2 linked regions of the Caenorhabditis elegans genome follow. The protein of the gene in region 1 purifies or fractionates together with the protein of each later gene. This does not show direct contact. Each region holds a gene or a part of one and is shown in the gene's direction. Other genes may lie near its edges.

What was found.
Region 2: the proteins of cutl-28 (region 1) and gcy-4 fractionate together in Caenorhabditis elegans (co-fractionation; one large-scale study listed by BioGRID). This does not show direct contact.

Annotation. Positions count from the first base shown.
Region 1 is NC_003282.8:682,292-686,216, forward strand, and holds the start of cutl-28 (CUTiclin-Like), read left to right. Parts: upstream 1-2,205; 5' UTR 2,206-2,213; coding exon 2,214-2,384; intron 2,385-2,546; coding exon 2,547-2,691; intron 2,692-2,744; coding exon 2,745-2,868; intron 2,869-3,343; coding exon 3,344-3,486; intron 3,487-3,528; coding exon 3,529-3,676; intron 3,677-3,726; coding exon 3,727-3,857; intron 3,858-3,925.
Region 2 is NC_003280.10:10,306,956-10,310,880, reverse strand, and holds the start of gcy-4 (Receptor-type guanylate cyclase gcy-4), read left to right. Parts: upstream 1-2,054; coding exon 2,055-2,266; intron 2,267-2,401; coding exon 2,402-2,644; intron 2,645-2,710; coding exon 2,711-2,937; intron 2,938-3,134; coding exon 3,135-3,287; intron 3,288-3,336; coding exon 3,337-3,434; intron 3,435-3,476; coding exon 3,477-3,602; intron 3,603-3,647; coding exon 3,648-3,786; intron 3,787-3,835; coding exon 3,836-3,925. Other genes in the region: Receptor-type guanylate cyclase gcy-5, read left to right, coding at 1-30, 81-481; ZK970.8 (Mss4 protein), read right to left, coding at 813-1,244. UniProt on the Caenorhabditis elegans protein: Guanylate cyclase involved in the production of the second messenger cGMP. Regulates chemotaxis responses toward Br(1-) and I(1-) salt ions in ASE right (ASER) sensory neuron.

The DNA of each region.
Region 1 (3,925 bases):
TCAAGCGAATCACCGGATCAGATAATTCCAGTTGATCCGGAACCTTTTCCGCCACCGCCCGTCGGATAATCTCTCTTCAACAGCTTGTCACTTTCTTTTCGGATTGTCTCATCGTTTTTGTTGTTTTTTTTTTTGCGCGCACATCTTTATTGTTTCATAAATCCACCAATTGGTTCTCTGCTGGACGCTGTGATAGAGTGTGTGTGAGATTTGAAGAGATGCAGAGAGAGAGTCAAGAGGGGCGTAGATATATTCCCGAGAATAATGTGTGTTGAATTGAGATTAGTGAAAACAAAATATGCAGAAGAAATCGAAATATGCATAGAATATTATTCAAATGTTCATGTTTTGTGTAGATTTACGTCAGTTTAGTGTAGATTTACAAAGCTTGATGTAGATTTACAAGTTGACCAACAGAATTTTGTGTAGATTTATAAATTTTTATGTGTATTTACGTGGTCTTTTGAATAGGTTTTTGAATTTTTTTTGTAGTTTTCATTGTCGATTACAAGGGTTTGTGTAGATTTACGAGATTTCTGTTTATTATTACGATATTTTTGTAGATATACGTGTGTTCATGTAAATTTGCTAGATTTTTAGTAGATTTTAGGGCCTTCTTGCATATTTAAGGAGTTTGAATTTTGTGTACTCCCTTATACTGCCAGCCGTCTCCTCATTGTGCTTGTTCAGCTGCCTGCCACTTTCGCCTCTCGCTATCTCTTTCATTTCTCTCCTTTTTTTTAATGGCACCGATTACACTGCATTCCCGTGTCCTCGGTAGTATAGTGGTGAGTATCCGCGTCTGTCACATGCGAGACCCGGGTTCAATTCCCGGCCGGGGAGAACCTTTTTTGCACAATTCTATCAACAGGTTGCCCAGCTGGGATATGTGACCTGAATCCCATGAAGCTTCACAGCGTCAGTTGGACAAAACTTTCACCTACTTCCGTGTAACCGTCACTTTCGATTCTGTGCCCTTTTGATTCTCCAGTATGTTTGCGTCTCTCAGGCGGCGGCCTGCTATTATCGTCGGCTGGCCGCTGCTGGTCATTTAGTGTCCGGCATGTTTGCTTACCGCCGAAACGATAGATATATGTCTACTGTTTTCCCGTTTTGGGGTGGTAGGTAGAAGCCAAACCACTTACCTGGTATGTCATTAAACCATGAATATAGGAGTTAAAAACAAATTTTTTGGTGTTTTGTGTAGATTTACTGAGCTGTGTTGTTATATACGAGATTTTGTGTGGATTTACGTGGCGCCTTGTAGATATACGAAGTGTTAATGTAGATGCTACCAATTTTGTATATTTACAGAATTTCTGAAGGTTTATGACGGTTGTGTAGATTCAGGTGGTTTCTTGCAGGTTTACCATTTTTTATATATATCTAAAAATTTTCATTTAGACGTACTGAGTTTTGTGTAGATTTACGAGGATTTTTAAAATTTGAAGTTCCAAATTTTTTTTTTTTGGAAATTTTGAAGTCAAAAAAAAATTTTAATCCAAACTCTACAAACAATTAGAACGCCCGTTTCTCTCCATTTCGAATAACTCATGCTAGTCGTTTGTAACCCCATAACATGTTTAAACCGACGATGCGCCTACCCTCCTCACCGCCCTTCCGACTGCTGGTGTCCATTAATTAACCTGCCGGAACGAATGCAACTTTAAACTTTTCCTGTCCAAGTTCCGTTTCACTTTGCATACATCTTCGAAATAGCTTGACTTTTTGAGGTTTTTTACGTTTGAATTTTCAAAAAGAGTTCCATTAGCTCAGTTTTTGTTCGAACGTTGTGATAACTTTGCCAAACGTTTTCCTATTTTTTGTCAAACTTTGTGATATTTCTGTAGAAAGTTTTTCCATTTCTGACCACTCAAACTTTGACAGCTTTCTGTCAAACGTTGTCCAATTGCAAGAGCAATTCATCGTATTACGCCTCAACCTTCTGTAGAAGTTTGTCATACTTTTGTCGAACGTTTTCATCTTTCTGTCGAACTTTAAACTATTCCAGGAAGACTCATAAATGCCGCCTAGGGTCTTCCTCAGAACTAAAACTTGTTCAGTTTTCTTTTTCTAGGTCTGCATAAATCTAGAAATAGAGAAATAAATGGAAATCCTACAAACACTAACAAACAGACATTTCCCGTCTTTCCGTACTTTTCCATATCCAAGCTTTTTCCTTACAACTTCCTCTTTTTTTTCCAGGTGATGCCATGAAATATCCCTTTCTCCTGATTCTTATTCTGTCAACACTCCCGTCTACAGTATCACCATGTGAGATCACTTTTATCTTGGAGACTTTGAAATCCGTAAACTCCACTGCAAGTCTTATTATTCGAAAATCTGTGGATAGTCTATCACAATGCACCAGGTTTTGCTCATCGGTAAGCTTTTTTGTCTTGCGGCTGACGTTTCGCGGGATGTGCCGGCATTCTAGTTCAACTTAAAGGGAGCTGGGATCTAGCCTCCTTGGAAGCCATATAGCAACTAGTAGCTAATTCCCTGGCTAATATAATTTCACTAAACGACCGAAAAACTCTCGTCAGGTACCAAACTGCACGCATTTCACTTTCTCGAACGCCGAACCCATTGAAAAGAAGAACGGTGGTTTCAATTGCCATCTTCACTCGAAGTCACCCGTCTTAACGACATCTGGATCTCGGACGGTAGGAACGAAAACTTGTTTGGAAAGTGAGTAATTGACGGCGAGGTGGTCATTTTGACTTTCACCCCTTTAATTTCAGATAAATGTTTGAAGAGAAGTTTTGCGTTTGAAAAGTTCCCAGGGAGGTCGTTGGTCAACTCATCGTTTATTATCAAGACATTTTCGATTTCGATGGAAGAATGCTTGTCACAGTGTCAGAAAGAGTTAGTTTTTAATAATATACCTTAAAAACCGCAAAAAGTGAAAAAGGGATAAAGTTGAAAAATTATTTTTTCGTTTTTTTTCTAGAAAATTAGTTTAAAATATTTTTTGAGTTCGATGCAGTTTTATAACATATTTTTAAATTCAAAATAATTTCTGAATTTTAAAATTATATGTTGTGATGATGGAAACAATTTGAAGTCTATTGAAGAATTTTCTTTGTAAAAAATCTGAAATTTTCTGATCGAAAACTTATCATCAAATTTTATTTTTCAAAATAAATGTAAAAAAAGTTCCTACATACATAAAACTTTTCATTTTGGAATTAAAAACTTAAAAAAAAAAGTGTGTTCTGTTTTGTTAAACTTCGATGCGTTAAAAAATTTTACTGTTTTTTAAATAATATTCTGGAAATATTCAAAAAATTAAAAATCTTTTCAAGACATTATTTTAAATTTCAGTCAATTTTTTTCTCAGGTCATCTTGTCGTGCTGCTCTGCACAACAATGACACCTCGTTATGCCAGTTATCCAGAGTATCCCTTAACTCTGTGTACAATCCAAGACTATACTTCAAAGCAAGCTATTCTGTGGATCTTTATGAAAACAATTGCGTTGATTGTAGGTCAATTTTTTTTGCACAAAAAATTCCGAAATTTTCAGATGCGATGACGTCATCAGCGTGTACATTTATGCGTGTCAACGGGGGTGGGCTGAAATCGGTCAGTGATCAGTTGATTCAAAATGTTGGAAGTTTTGATGAATGTGAACAAATGTGTGTGATAAGAAGTCGCATTTCAGATGTTTGCAGGTTTGTTGAAGGCTTAAACTATTATCTGTAAAAGCTGAAATTTTTTTCAGATCCTATACCTATGACAACTCAACCAACGAATGTAACTTAATGTGGGCATCTGCTAGAATGCTAGGAAGAAGCCCGCTGGAATCAATGAAGCCGAATTTGTTTCATGGTGATTTGGATGATTGTGTTAATTGTGAGTAATTTTTTCGATGAACAATGGTATTTTCTTAAATTTTTCATCTGAAAACTCGTGGAAAATTT
Region 2 (3,925 bases), on another chromosome or scaffold:
AAGTTGAACTAAGAATTGGAATTAATAGTGGTGAGTTTGGCGTATGTATTTAAAAATTTAAACGAATTTTACTTTTTCAGGGCCTTGTGTTGCCGGTGTCGTTGGTCTATCCATGCCCCGTTATTGCCTATTTGGGGATACAGTGAACACTGCGTCGAGAATGGAAAGTAATGGAAAACCATCAATGATTCATATGTCAGAAGCTGCACATTCTCTGCTCACAGATCATTATCCTCATCAATATGAAACAAGTTCAAGAGGAGAAGTGATTATAAAAGGAAAAGGTGTAATGGAAACATTTTGGGTTCTCGGAAAAACTGACAGTGACACAAAATCATTGAGCACTCGAACAACGCCACCTATCACTGATGAGAATTGGCCTCCACAAATGAAAGAAGATTTAAAGAAGCGAGCAGTGACACCTTATCCAGAAAGGCAGAGGAGTGGAAAATCAAAAATGGATACGTTAAAAGTTGTTTAAATATATACGAATATTAAGATTTAATGAATGTTAAAAACAATAGTTAAATTGAATAAATGAACGTTCTTTTTCTTTGTTAGCTGTCTTTGATTGCAAATGGTGGGAGTTGGAAATACTTAACTCGAACAATAGTCTGCCAGAATTTCTTGGATCACACCTTTCTCTATGGCTGGAAAATCGGAAAAAAACCCTCTTAAAAGTGAGAATTTAACAAAGAGAAACATAACAAGAATATGGAAAAAGTTTGAAAAAAATCATTTATCGGAATAATATTTATATTCAATTAAAATCCTGATACTTTATTCCAAATTTCATAAACAAAAATTTGAAACTAGGACTTTTCATACTTGACACGTTCAACAGCCACCCAGAACTTCTTATTGTCCTCCGAACGAAAACCGATCGGTCCCAACTCGCAGTCTCCACACATCAACACCTTCTTCTTGTCGACTGTCTGCCATCCGACTGTATCGAAGATCATATCATTCTCAGTATACCACCACCAACTGATTTTCTCTTGAGCCAGAGGTCCTTTCGCTTGATGTGTCATCACACGAAGCTGATATGGCTGATTCTCGACGGTCATCACAACGTCCTCCGGGAAGATGACCGACTTGCAGCGACGGCAGACCACTTTGTGCAGATTACGGTCGTCCTCATTGATCAAATCGTCTTTGTTAACCTTTTCACATTTTCCATTTACCGGTGTGTTTGCTGGTTGCGGTCGGATCGCGAATAGTTGAAGTTTCAGTGGTACTTGCATCTGAAAAAGATTGATTCAGAATTCGAGATCTTAACGAAGACACTAAAGTGCCTTCAACGAAGACATTAAAGTGCCTACCTGAGTGCCTCATGCCTGACAAGTTTGATAGGCGACCTACGCCTATTGTTATTCAGGTAGGCAACTTTAAGCCTACGTGGATGGCTTAGATTTCAGCAAATTAAAACTCACCGCTTGTGAAATTGACCATGAAAATTGAAATGAAGAGAAAATTGAAAGTGATGGGGAAGGAGAACGTGTAAAATTGAAAACAAAAAAACAATTCAAAACATTTTTACACGCTATTATATTTTTTACTTTTTAAATATTCTCCGTTGAAACTCGTAATCTTCCTTGTCATCAATGGCACCGTATAAACGGAAACTCATTGGAATCACCGAAATTTTTTACTTTTCAGGAAAAACTTAAAATTGGGACGTTTTTTCCAACACATATTTTTTAATAAAAAATACCACTTTTCTGTCAAATTTATGTTATATTTACATAAGTCAGAACTTGACACTTCAGTTTAAAAGCGGATGATGTATTTCTGCGTGGAACTCGTCACGATCTCAGCCACAGTAGTAGCTCGGGAGGCATATGGAAGCAGATCCCCTGCTAGAGCATGAGAGGTCAAATCTGAAATTTTTCAGATAAAAACTCCATTCCGCCAAGTGTTATTCCTGTTCTATTTCTAAAATTTCTCGAAAAGAGCAGCCATACGTCAATGGGGGTAAAGCTTAAAAGAAGCCAATCATCTACTGCCCACTACTTCCATGAATTATGATACTCTTTTCTAAATATTATTTTTCAATGCGCCAATTAAATTATTACATTTTTATTTCTACCATTCTAACGTACAATTTGACCCATGGTCAAGGCCCAAGGCCTGTAATTCGGGTTGGAATAACTGCAGCTTTGAAAACTGAAAATGGATCAATTGGATGGGCATATACTGGTGGAGCTGTTCCATTGGCATTGCAATATTTGAAATCGCATGGTTATATGTTGAATTTTGATTTCGAGTGAGCTTTAAATAGTTTTTTAAAAAATTCAGGAATTTATCTCATTTTTTTCTTTAAAAAAAATTAAATTTCAAAATTTTCTTCACTGAAATCACTGTTTTATTACTAGTCCCGTTTGCAACTTTATATTTCCAGATTCCACGTTGAGTACACAGAATGTGACTTGGCAAATACTGTCAGGGCGGGACTGAACTTTATGAAAACCAATAACTACGATGTGATCATCGGACCGCCTTGTGCTCCGGCACTAAAAATGATGGGAACTCTGTCGACAATATACAAGAAACCAGTACTCGGTTGGGGATTTGTCAGTGAATCGGAGATTTCTGATATGAACAGATTTCCATTTGTTGCGTCGGTCTTGCCAAGCACCAAAACGTTAGTTCAGTTTCATCGTGGCTTTTTGGACAACTAATTTGAGCAGTTCGTAGTGCCAATTTGCAGACTCGGAGTAGTTACATCAAAACTTCTAGAGATTTATGGCTGGGATCGTGTAGCTTTGTTGTATTTTAAGAATGAGTTGGACTACTGTAGTTCGGTCGTAAATGATGTGGAGAAGTCCTTGTATAATGAGAGCAAGTCTGTTCAAATTGTAATGAAGGCAGAAATCGATGGTTCCAACAGTGAAAGCACAAGTGCAACGCTTCAAGTAGTCAAGACTAGAGCTAGAGGTAAATGGGTTTAATTCAATTTTGGGAGTATTGACCCTGACTAATCTCATTTCACCCCGTGCATATTTCTAATAAATTTGCATATTATCGGAACTTGTCAGAGAAAGAGAGAGCCAATTTTTTGAGCAGCTTCCGCAATTGAATTCTTTAAACTCATTTGCTTTGAATATTTTGTTTTTTACCTTAACCATTTCCAGTAATCCTTTTCTGCGCCCATGCTGGAGGTGAAAAGCGATTTTATCTGATTCAAGCTGGTTTACTCGGAATGAATTCTAGTGAGTATGTACATGTTATGCTTTCAATGAGAAGCGTCGGTTTTGGAGTTCAAACTTCTGTTGGGAAAAAGCCATGTAAGGTCTACTTGTGATTATTTTTATCAAATATTCCTATATTCTACAGTAACCCTCTCTGGCCTACCTCCAATATGGGAATCATTCACTGTGAATCCTGATGGTATGGAAGATTTGGCAAAGAGTGTAGCTGCCAAAATGATTGTGGTGATTTACTGTTCAGTAGGTCTCTCTAAATATATTTTTTAGATAGATACAAGCAGTGAAGTTCGAGACAAAACATTTCTGCAATATATGACTAAAAATATAGTATATGCTATTCGAGAGCCCCCATTGAGTTGTAAAGTCCCAGAATGTTTAATAACTAATGCTACGGTTAGTGAATTGATATAGAAATTTGAAAATATGTTTTGTTTGTAGGGCATGGGAGCCTATGCCAGACATTTGTTTGATGTATTTTACATGTATGGAATGGCAGTGTCAAGTTTGAATTCAACTGATCCGAATGTCTACGGAAATTTGTCACTGCTAATTCCTAAGTTTACCACTGCTTTTGAAGGTAAACTATGGTATAGAGAATCTCTTTAAACTTAAAATATAAACTTCAGGAATGACCGGCGAAGTTAAATTAAACGAAGATTTGGCAAGAAAACCATTGTACCAAGTATATGGGCTGAATAGTGAATACGATCAAATAT